Linked DNA regions of Xenopus tropicalis. The protein of the gene in region 2 purifies or fractionates together with the protein of the main gene of each other region. This does not show direct contact. Links are inferred from orthologs where the notes say so. Each region holds a gene or a part of one and is shown on either strand. Other genes may lie near its edges.

The links. The genes of interacting proteins can lie anywhere in the genome.
Region 1: the proteins of cdca5 (region 2) and pds5b purify together in Homo sapiens (affinity purification with western blotting; 4 studies listed by BioGRID and IntAct, with this or other methods). This does not show direct contact. The link is inferred for Xenopus tropicalis from reciprocal best matches to the Homo sapiens genes CDCA5 and PDS5B.

Annotation. Positions count from the first base shown.
Region 1 is NC_030678.2:153,120,713-153,125,826, reverse strand, and holds the start of pds5b (sister chromatid cohesion protein PDS5 homolog B), read left to right. Parts: upstream 1-1,983; 5' UTR 1,984-2,067; intron 2,068-4,528; exon of another isoform or gene 4,529-4,624; intron 4,625-5,114. UniProt on the Homo sapiens protein: Regulator of sister chromatid cohesion in mitosis which may stabilize cohesin complex association with chromatin. May couple sister chromatid cohesion during mitosis to DNA replication.
Region 2 is NC_030680.2:33,589,010-33,594,172, reverse strand, and holds the start of cdca5 (sororin), read left to right. Parts: upstream 1-1,624; 5' UTR 1,625-1,993; coding exon 1,994-2,045; intron 2,046-3,326; coding exon 3,327-3,382; intron 3,383-3,821; coding exon 3,822-3,884; intron 3,885-4,829; coding exon 4,830-4,868; intron 4,869-5,163. Other genes in the region: zfpl1 (zinc finger protein-like 1), read right to left, coding at 1-12. UniProt on the Homo sapiens protein: Regulator of sister chromatid cohesion in mitosis stabilizing cohesin complex association with chromatin. May antagonize the action of WAPL which stimulates cohesin dissociation from chromatin.

The sequences.
Region 1 (5,114 bases), on a different chromosome or scaffold from region 2:
TTGGTCTTTATGGAATCCACTTCCCAATAAGCAATACTTCATCTCCTGCTACCGCCTCAGATCCAGAGAGACATTAAACATAAGATCCTCGTCCCTGGATACAGTGTCTCTCATCAAGACTGTGAATAGAATTTTAGCAAAATCTTTGCTGTCCGGGACTGGCCACTTCAAACCTGCAAGGGTTTTGTCTCTAACAACCTCCATCAGGTGATGATTAAAAGACAACTAAACCCTAAAATAGAATATGGCTAGATATGCTGTACTTTATGTATTGAACTGAATGCAGCAGTCTAAGTCAGCTGCTGACTTGATCTGAAGGGGTTGAATCGGCAGCTTAAATCTGCACATGCAGAGTCAGTCTGGGCCTAACGGACCACCAGGAAACATATGGTGGGCCCTGGTGACCCAGACCCGCTTGACACTATAGAAGCTACCCCCAACCTTCCACCTCACGGCCATAAGGGAAGAGTGCAAGGAACACGCAGGGGAATGGGGGTGCAGTGTGTGGAGAACCTAACAACTGGGGTTGTGGTGCCTAAATTGGTAGACCTGGTTGGCATTAGACCCCCCCCCCAGTCCAATGCCTACTAGCAGGGCCAATGATTTGATCACACACTAAAGGATTTTAAAGTTAATCATTTGATTTTAAAGTAAACTTAATAAAGGTATTTTTAATAGGTCTTAGCTGGTGTGCCTTGACAGGTGTCTAACTATAGTGCGAGGTTAACTTCACTATTAACACTAAAGGTGGGCACACATGGGTCAATAAAAGCTGCAGGCTTTGGTTGGTATTGGCCAACATATGAGGCCCTCCGACGGGCCTACTCGACTGATATCTGGCCAAAAATAGGACAGCTTTGATTTTCACATGGGATAGAGGACCAGACGTGCACGTTGATGAAGTCCTCAATCTGACAGTCTGCATAGGAGCAATTATGATCCAATCATTTGGCCCGAGGGCCAACCAATCAGATGAGTTCAATATTTAATTGTGTGACCACCTCGCCAACTGAGCGGATCTTTCAATGCCTGGCCTGCTTTAGGCCTGTGGGGGCCAATCAGATGAAGACTGCTTCAATGCACCTTGTCTGATGGAATTTTCAAACCTGTCCGACTGCTATTTGTATGTATGTATGTATGTATAACTTTATTTATAAAGCGCCACAAGGGTACTCAGCGCTGTACAGTCTTACAGAATACACAATTACACACAGGGAGGACAAGTGATATAATAAATAAATACAATAAATACATATATGTATATATATATATAGGAACAGGTGAAAACAGGCACTCACGTATAATGAAGTAATAATTTGCCTGGGTGCAGTATAAAGTGAGCATACAAAATTAGAAAGAATATGCTGCACACTCAGGTCTTAGATGCAAAAAACAAAAAAAAATTTATTTGGATCAAGGATCGAGTCCTTGATCCAAATAAAAAAAATTTTGTTTTTTGCATCTAAGACCTGAGTGTGCGGCATATTCTTTCATTCTTTCTAATTTTATATATATATATAAATGCCATGTGGTATGAGAAACAGTAGGAAGGAGGTCCCTGCCCCGTAGAGCTTACAATCTAAGTGACAACATACACAGCTTTTATGGGCCCATATAGGGCCACTATTACTTAGCCATGTAGTACCTACATGCATAAGTGTCGCCTGTAACATGACAGATGGTTAGGGAATGCACTGACAGCGTCCCCCCGCTGGCACAGTAGTGGAATGGATTTGCCCTGTGGCTACTGAATACTTTCCATTCCACTAGTCAAACGGATTTCTCACTCGCCCATAGTTGTAGAGCGCCAAGGTTTCGTCACCGAGAGGGGGTGGATCTATGGCAGTTCCCAGTTTGGCCGCCTGGGGCCGCTGCATGACCGTACAGCGGGGAAGGCCGCGCTTATTCCCATAGCCGCTTCCATTGGAGCTGCCGGAGACAAATTGGCGCCATTTTGAAGCTCTGGGCAGGCTGCACGGAGCGGGATAACACGGACGGAGAGGAGAGCGGGGAGTCGGAGCCGGAGGGGAGGGAGTACAACGTACTGGCGAGCGGCAACATATAAAGGTAAGACATACGGTGCCAGGGCCGGCGGGCAGAGGCCTGTGTTCCGGTGAGCGGCCTCCCGGCTGAAGGGAACGGTGTGCGGGGGATGCGGGGAGCGGCCCGGGGGTACGGAGCGCTGTGCTGCCCTCACTCAGTGCGGGGAAGTTGTCTGTAATGCTGCGCAGTCATGCTGTTATGTACAGCGCCATCGCTGGCCCCTCCTGTCGCTGAACTACAACTCCCAGCATCCTCCGGCAGCCCAAGCCTGCCCAGGGGTCGGGGGGCGGGGGGAGAGGAGTATAGTTTCAAGACTGCTGATCACAAAGGCACTGGGTGCCCGGGGGTGCCCTGTATTGTTACTGGGTGCCCTGTATAGTCACTGGGTGCCCGGGGTTGCCCTGTATTGTCACTGGGTGCCCGGGGTTGCCCTGTATTGTCACTGGGTGCCCGGGGTTGCCCTGTATAGTCACTGGGTGCCTGGTATAGTCACTGGGTGCCCGGGGTTGCCCTGTATAGTCACTGGGTTGCCCTGTATTGTCACTGGGTGCCCGGGGTTGCCCTGTATTGTCACTGGGTGCCCGGGGTTGCCCTGTATAGTCACTGGGTGCCTGGTATAGTCACTGGGTGCCCGGGGTTGCCCTGTATAGTCACTGGGTGCCTGGTATAGTCACTGGGTGCCCGGGGTTGCCCTGTATAGTCACTGGGTGCCTGGTATAGTCACTGGGTGCCCGGGGTTGCAGGGCATATATATTCTGCCTGGATATTAGATGCCCAGCCTCTCACATTGCTGCTGTATGACTGGGCATGCTGGGTAGTTGTAGTTCTAGAAGTGGAGTGCAGGCATTCCTGGCCTGGATTGTCAAGATTCTAAATAATTAAAGGCAGCCATAACCCAGAGTGACTTTCCCTTTAATAGCTGTCCCAGTGTGGGTGCTGTACATTTGTCTGGCTGTGGGTGCTGTACATTTGTCTGGCTGTGGGTGCTGTACATTTGTCTGGCTGTGGGTGCTGTACATTTGTCTGGCTGTGGGTGCTGTACATTTGTCTGGCTGTGGGTGCTGTACATTTGTCTGGCTGTGGGTGCTGTACATTTGTCTGGTTGTGGGTGCTGTACATTTGTCTGGTTGTGGGTGCTGTACATTTGTCTGGTTGTGGGTGCTGTACATTTGTCTGGTTGTGGGTGCTGTACATTTGTCTGGTTGTGGGTGCTGTACATTTGTCTGGTTGTGGGTGCTGTACATGACTGCCTGGGCCATGTATGACTAGAATGCCAAAAACCCACTGGCACTGTTCTCCTACCTACTGCTCACCCCCATTTCTGTTCGGATTAGAAGCTTTACTTTGTGGCCCTTTGTAGCTATTTGATGGTTGCTGCGGCTGCATCTCCTTACTATATACTTTATGAATGGCATTCATTGGCTGACAGCTGACACAGGTCATTGACACTAGGGCTTGTGTGACACTGATATACTAGTGCTTGTCTGACTTATTTACCACTTGAAGCCCCGCCTCTTTGAGGGTCCAATCTTTGGCTGGGGGCCCCTTAGCTCATGGTTACTGATATAGGAAACCTTTGTGTATGAGTTTAACCATCTAGATTGGCATTCAGGTGTATCTAGGAGATCAAATAGGCTTTCCCTCAAAATCTTACCCTCACTTGCATTGATACTGAGCCCCTGCTCCACAGTTGGGCGCTAGTGATGCTTGGGCCAACAGTTTTTTTTTATTTTTGAAAGCCCGAGGTCGTGCTTTCTTCCTAAGTGCAAAAAGTGCGAAAAGTGCATCGTGCAAAAAACACACAAAAGTGCACAAAGGGTGCGTTTAGCTGCTAGCCCCTAAAGGGGCAAAGCTGCCATACTCGATTCCCACGTGGCCAAAAGGCTCGGCGAAAAAAGAGTCTTCGAACCCTCCTTTGCCGAAGCTAGGGAGGGTCCCTTTACATCCCCGACCCCCGGACCAAAAGGCTCACGGGGGCAAGGGTCTTCGGACTCTCCTTCGCCGCAAGGCTAGGGAGAGTCCCTTTCCTCCGGAATCCGCCGAAGCTTCCTCCGAGGTACAGTCAAGGCCGAAGTCTTGTCTTAGGTCGGGGAGAGACAGGAGCCAAAAGGCCACACAGTCCTCCCCTTGGTCCGTGGGGCATACCCAAAAGGGCAACTGCACCCTCAGAACCCATTCGAAAGGGTCACATAGAAAAAAGTGCAGTGACAAAACAAGAAGTGAATAAATATAAAATAAGAAAAAGAGTGCCGTGTATACGGCCCCAGCCTGACGTCCGGAATTTTAAAAATTTCTCTCTGCTCATCAGCCAAAAGGCCGGGGGCAGAAGGAGCGAGTGCAGCATAAAAACTTAAAGTGCCATTGTGCAAAGTGCTGTACTAGTGCAGCGTGAGCCACCACCTCACTGTGCTTGTTCGGGCACCCTGGGGTCGCTACTCCCAGGGCACGGCGCACCTCGGGCTTTCATGCTACCGGCCCTCTGGCCAGAGGATCATGGTAGACTGTCTTATATAGGGGGGGAGGAGAACCCCCTTAAGAACAGATACTACACTTGATCTTAGCCAAAGGGCCGAGAAGCGAGAAGCTTGGGCCAACAGTTACTTGACCCGGGGAAAGCCAAACCTGCCCCGTTTCGACCCGACCCACCATACTGCAACTGTTTACATAACTGCGCCCGACTCCCCCATCTCTAGATGTCACAGGAGGGGATGGGCACAAGTCTATAAAAGGAGTTAGACCTGGAGATAAATGGAGAAAAGAGATTGGTGGGGGTGTATATTTAAGCCCGCCCATAACAAAGACTTAAATTGCTGGCCCAGCCCCCACAATTAGATACCAATGCTGCACTGTTGTAGCTCTTAATTCCACCCCCCCATTGCTGGCATGATGCTTAACCCCTATACCCATCTGCCACCTCCACATTTTAACTCGGAGGCTGCACTGTGCTCGGTGGTGTCTCTTGTTCTTTTAGATAGTGCCTCTGTCTGCCCCGGCTGTACAGCTGTCTGAGCACAACAGGCATTGCTTGCCAACCAAACTTTGTACTGTGCTTTCTTAGGGACCCTGGCACA
Region 2 (5,163 bases):
GCACAGCCCCATGATGACAGGGACACCTGCTGAGGGAAACAGAAATGGTGACAGAAATGCATCAGCCATAGCTCTCTTAAAAACCATCCTTATAGAGTATTCAAATACAAATTAACTTCTGTATGTTTTTCATGGTTCATATTGCATAGAGTACACTGAATAGAAGCAGACACATGTATCCAAATTATTCCCGGTGGCCTTAATATCATAAAAGATAAAACCAAATTTCAGAAGTATTTGTGCCCATACAGGGACAAATTTCCAAGGGGACACTAATTTGTATATAATGCTACCTGTTAATTTTCTATTAACCTCTGAGAGAGCTGTTTTACCCTGGGCAACTTCCTATATGGCCAATGCAATAAAAAAAATCTTTAAAGACATTGGTTGTTGAAGAAGACACTTGTGTGTATTTGCTAAGCCAAGTCCTCCTGACTTTGACACATTAGGCTAGTTTAACTATACTGAAACATATGTTCTATCTTTGTTCCAAGTTGCATGGGCATTTTTAGTAGTTATTTGCAGGAATTGTACTATAATATAAAGATACGGGTAAATGAACAGAATGTTATTTTTCTTTGTAATATGTGGTCACAACCTCACTGCTTCACTGATGAAGAGGAAAGCTTACCTATAAAGGATAAGGACGGGTGGATTTATTGGAGGTGCCAATGTGTTAGATACCTCTCTGATGAATCCAATCAGTAAGTTTTTCCTGGGGGCTGGTGCTTTTTTAAGGAAAATACTGCACCCTCCCAGAGAAATAACCAACAGGCCACAGTGCTGCTATTTTACATGTCTGTCACTAGGTTAACCATCTTTTCTGGAAAAAAATACTGGCTTTTTTATACTTTACATTGGCATCTATCATCAATTGTACTGGTCAGGGCAGTAAAATCCCAGCCCGTATTTTTATTTTTTTCCCTATTAATAAAATTGGCACCAAGCTTCAGTTTTACAGGCCAGATGGCAACACAAACGCTATGTGTCCCTGACACTGACTGACACTCAAGCATGTACAGAAGAATGAATAAGGCAAAATGGTGGAGAAAAACCTTACTAAATCCTTTTTTTTTTTGTTCAGAGCATCATATACTCATCTTCCATTCATATTTTCAAACAACTGTCTGGTTGCTTCAGTAACTAAGCCCTAACAACCACAAAAGTCGAAGCCTGCGAGCTGCAGAACAAAGTACACACACTTGTCTCTGTATATTATACCACTATGTTTCTGTTGAGATTTCAAAGCCTTGAATCCCGTGACAGCCCGACGTGGATGGAAACCTGAAGTGGTAGCGCAGAATCTGTATAGTTATACTATTCGTAGTCTCATCCTACACATAGCAATGCACCTACCTGCCTAGCGCTATATACACACAGCGGCCTCACGCCCCAATGCTCTCCCTCTTGCCAGCACTCTTCATTCACTATTCTCCCCTCCTGTTTCCATCCGGCACAGCTGGTTTACTATCTTTTTCCTTAGACAACCCTTTCCCACTCTTCTCTGCCACGTCTCTTCCGGGTGACAGTGACAGCAGCGTACGCGTCGCCCCGTTGTGACGTCATTTCCTCGACGCGCAGGGTAGTGGTTCTAGCAGCACAAGCGAACGTCACTTCCACTTCCGGCTTACAGAGCGGGCGCGGGATATTTGAAAGGCTCCTATTTAGTGACACTGGCGGAGTTTAAAGTCGGCTTCTGATAGTTTATACAATTCAGGAGTAGTAGGAGGAGGCTACTTATTTGTGCGGGTTACTAAGGCCGCGCAGTTCGTGTATGTAGAATTGTACCTATTACATAAAGGACTATAAGGATCCAAGCGATGTGTATGGCTTATAGGCTAGTGTGTAACCATGCAGCAGCCTCTGGTCGGTGGTAAACCTTAGTGAGCCGCGGCTTTAGATTATGTTAGAAGGTGCTAGCACCACTGGGGACTTTGTCTATAATAACTAAAGGACAGTTTTACAGACGGAAAGGCTATCGACACCAAGCGCCATGTCGGAGCGCAAGAAGAGAAGTAGCGGTGCAGAGTCCCGCAGAGGAGTAGGTGAGACCTGGGGTATGAGGGGCATTTGGCTAACAACGTAGCAAGTTATATTCTTATGCCATATTATTTAGCGCTGACATATTCCTGGGAGCTTTGCAATCTAAGGAGCCTGTAATATTCACACACAGTCAGGCCAGCTTTACCTGAAGCCATATAACCTGCCTGGATGTTCTTGGAGTGTGGAAGGAAACTGAAGACAGCAAAACTTACAGATGTTTTGAAATTGGACGCATTATTGGCTACATCTTATATAAAGGGTCCAGTTTATTAGGGTCACTAATATTCACATTTAGATCTGAACACAGTCTGTGACCAAAACATTGTCTTTCAGGCACTTTTAATCCTTATGACAAAGGTTTGGATCTGATTTAGCTGTCTGCTAAGGGTTCGTCTGGCTCTTGCAAAAAGCTGCTCAGATTCACGAGTCCCAAACGAAATCCTGGATCTGAGGCATCCTTGTTACATGCAATCGAAACCTGCCACCGGTCATCCAAATATGAGAGATCAAATAATAATTTATAAATATTATAGCAGATAATACATTAATTGTACAAAGGGACATGTCATTAAAAGTTTTCAGTTTGCTTATTATTGATATAAAGATAAGTATTAGAGTACATAATATATACACTATCCTATTTTCCAGACATAGGAATATTTTACTTTTATGCAAGAATGTTTATTAAGCTTGCCACACACACCAATATGATCATGTCGCACCAATATATTCATCCAAAACAAAGTTTCATACAATTTTTGGACTGTGTGGCATTCGAATTATCCTCCAGACAATTTTTATACCATGGCAATTAGAAACAGCGCTGCATATTTCTACTGTATTCCAAATAATGTTGAATGTGTTTTTTTTGCATTATTGCAGAATGTTTCACATGATTAAAATATCTGCCTATGTGTTTTTTTTTTTTTTTATAATAATATTCACAAGTGGACTTATTACAATAATTGGTTATGTTCCACTGAATACCCCCTCCCCTTTTGAGTACTGCTTGGCATTTACTTGAATGGGAAAACACTTTTTGTACTAGTAAGCTGATATAGTTTGGGAAAACAGATTTCCCGAGTGATATTGACATTATGGCAAATGTGAATGGGATGCTGATGTTGGCAGTGGTGTTCCTTCCTTTCAGGACCTGTAATGATCAAAACTCTTGTGATTTTTACCCTCATGTTCTCTGCCATAGTATGTCTGGGGATGTTTTGATTTGTTGTATATTATTTTAACACTTGTATCTCATTTTTTGCCACCCTTTTCATTTGCAGGTATCGTCTCTCCACCTAAAAGAAGATCCCAAAGAAAATCTGCTTCAGACAGTCCGGTATGTTCTTTACTTTCCATCCCTCTATTAGCCAGCTCCATTCAACACTCTAGTAAAGGGAAAATCCACCTTGAAGCAATCTTGTCCTGTTCTTTTAAGTTGATCTTCACTTTCCATAGTTGTTATAATTTGCATTCCTCTACCCATTTCCAGCATTTAAAAAGATTCAGAGACCCGGCACCCAAAAGACTATTGATCTCCGAATCTACAATTTTATTGCAACTTGCCCCAGTCCCTTTTACCTTCCAGTCTATTATTTAAACCACTGTCTTGCAGCTGTGGTACATTGGACCCTAGCAATCAGATAACCTAAATTCCAAATCCACAAAAAATGAAGGCCATTTGGAAATCATCTGATAATATACTGTCTACACCATACTGAAAGTAAATTAAAGGTGAATGACCCCTTTTAAGTTATTTTAAATTTTGTATTTTTCAGATCCCAGATCCTATCATGAAACGTTCAATTACGGTCAAGAAAATAATGCCCAGAAAAACACTGGTAAATATACTGTCGTGTTATGAAAAAAGAAAGCTTTACCCTTCTTCTGATATAATAATATTGGGGACTAATGCATATATAAAAGGAAGTAGCTAGTTCCGCTCACATTAGTGCTGAGTGAAGCAGGGGGAATAATATAGCTACTTTGTGACTCACTACAACACCAGGTGGGGAAATATAGGCACCTAGGCTTCATTTAATGGTAATTTTTTCCTGGTGCCAATATAATTATTTCTCTGGGAAGAGCATTACCTTTTTTGTAAATCCTTACATTCCCTGCTGCAATAGTGTCATTCTCCCATTGTTCAGCACTGTAAATCTTTGTTGTCTTCAGTTCATAGTGTAAAAATTCTTTGTATGTTTTTATCAGTAAGATGCTACAATTTTTCCAAATTGTTGTGCATTTTTCTAGAATTATCAGAATTCTTGATTATTAATTATATAGGAACAGAAGTAAGATAAGATTTAACTTGTGCCAATCTATAATATATGATTATGTATTGCATGTTTAGTGTATGATTAGGCAATGCTGATTTACATTGGTGTATTTCCAAATTGCTCACTGATGTATTTTTGTCCTCTGTTTCCAAAACATAGCTACCAGCTCAGATTCCAGCATATGTTTTTTAAAACTTGCTCTCACACTACTTTTATTTAATTTGTACTTACCTGAACTGAATCAGAAGCATTTTTTCTAACATTTCAGACTCAATGTTGCTACTATAACTGGTTTCAGCACCCAAGGCCTGAACCTGACATTAGCAGAGTACAGACAGACTGCTGTATTTAATCCTCACATTCACATGGCAGAATCTTAGCCTTTGTAAGCATTATTTGGGTTGTACCAATTTCTAATCAACAGCAAAACTGAATTTCATCAAAGAAAACTGGTGCATTCCAGAATTTTTTTCTTATTTTCTGTATCATTCCTATTTGTCTTTTTAGGCAGCTATTGCCAATACAGGATCTCAGTCCACACCTAAGGTAGGTCTTGACAATTTAAGTAACAAAAATCTCATGATTTCCAGCATTTAAGTGATGCTAAAAAATAACTAGTGTAAATGCCTCTGCTATTTGACTTAAGGTGGCCATACACAGGCTGATTCTAGCTGCCGATATTAGTCCTTTAGACCGATGCAGCAGCTTATCGGCCCATCTATGGGCACTAACGACAGGCCTGCCCGACCGACATTTGGCCTGAAATCATTCAGATCTCGATCGGGCAGGTTTGTCTTTTTGTCAGATCGGACAGCACCTATACCCGCCGTTCTAATTCAAT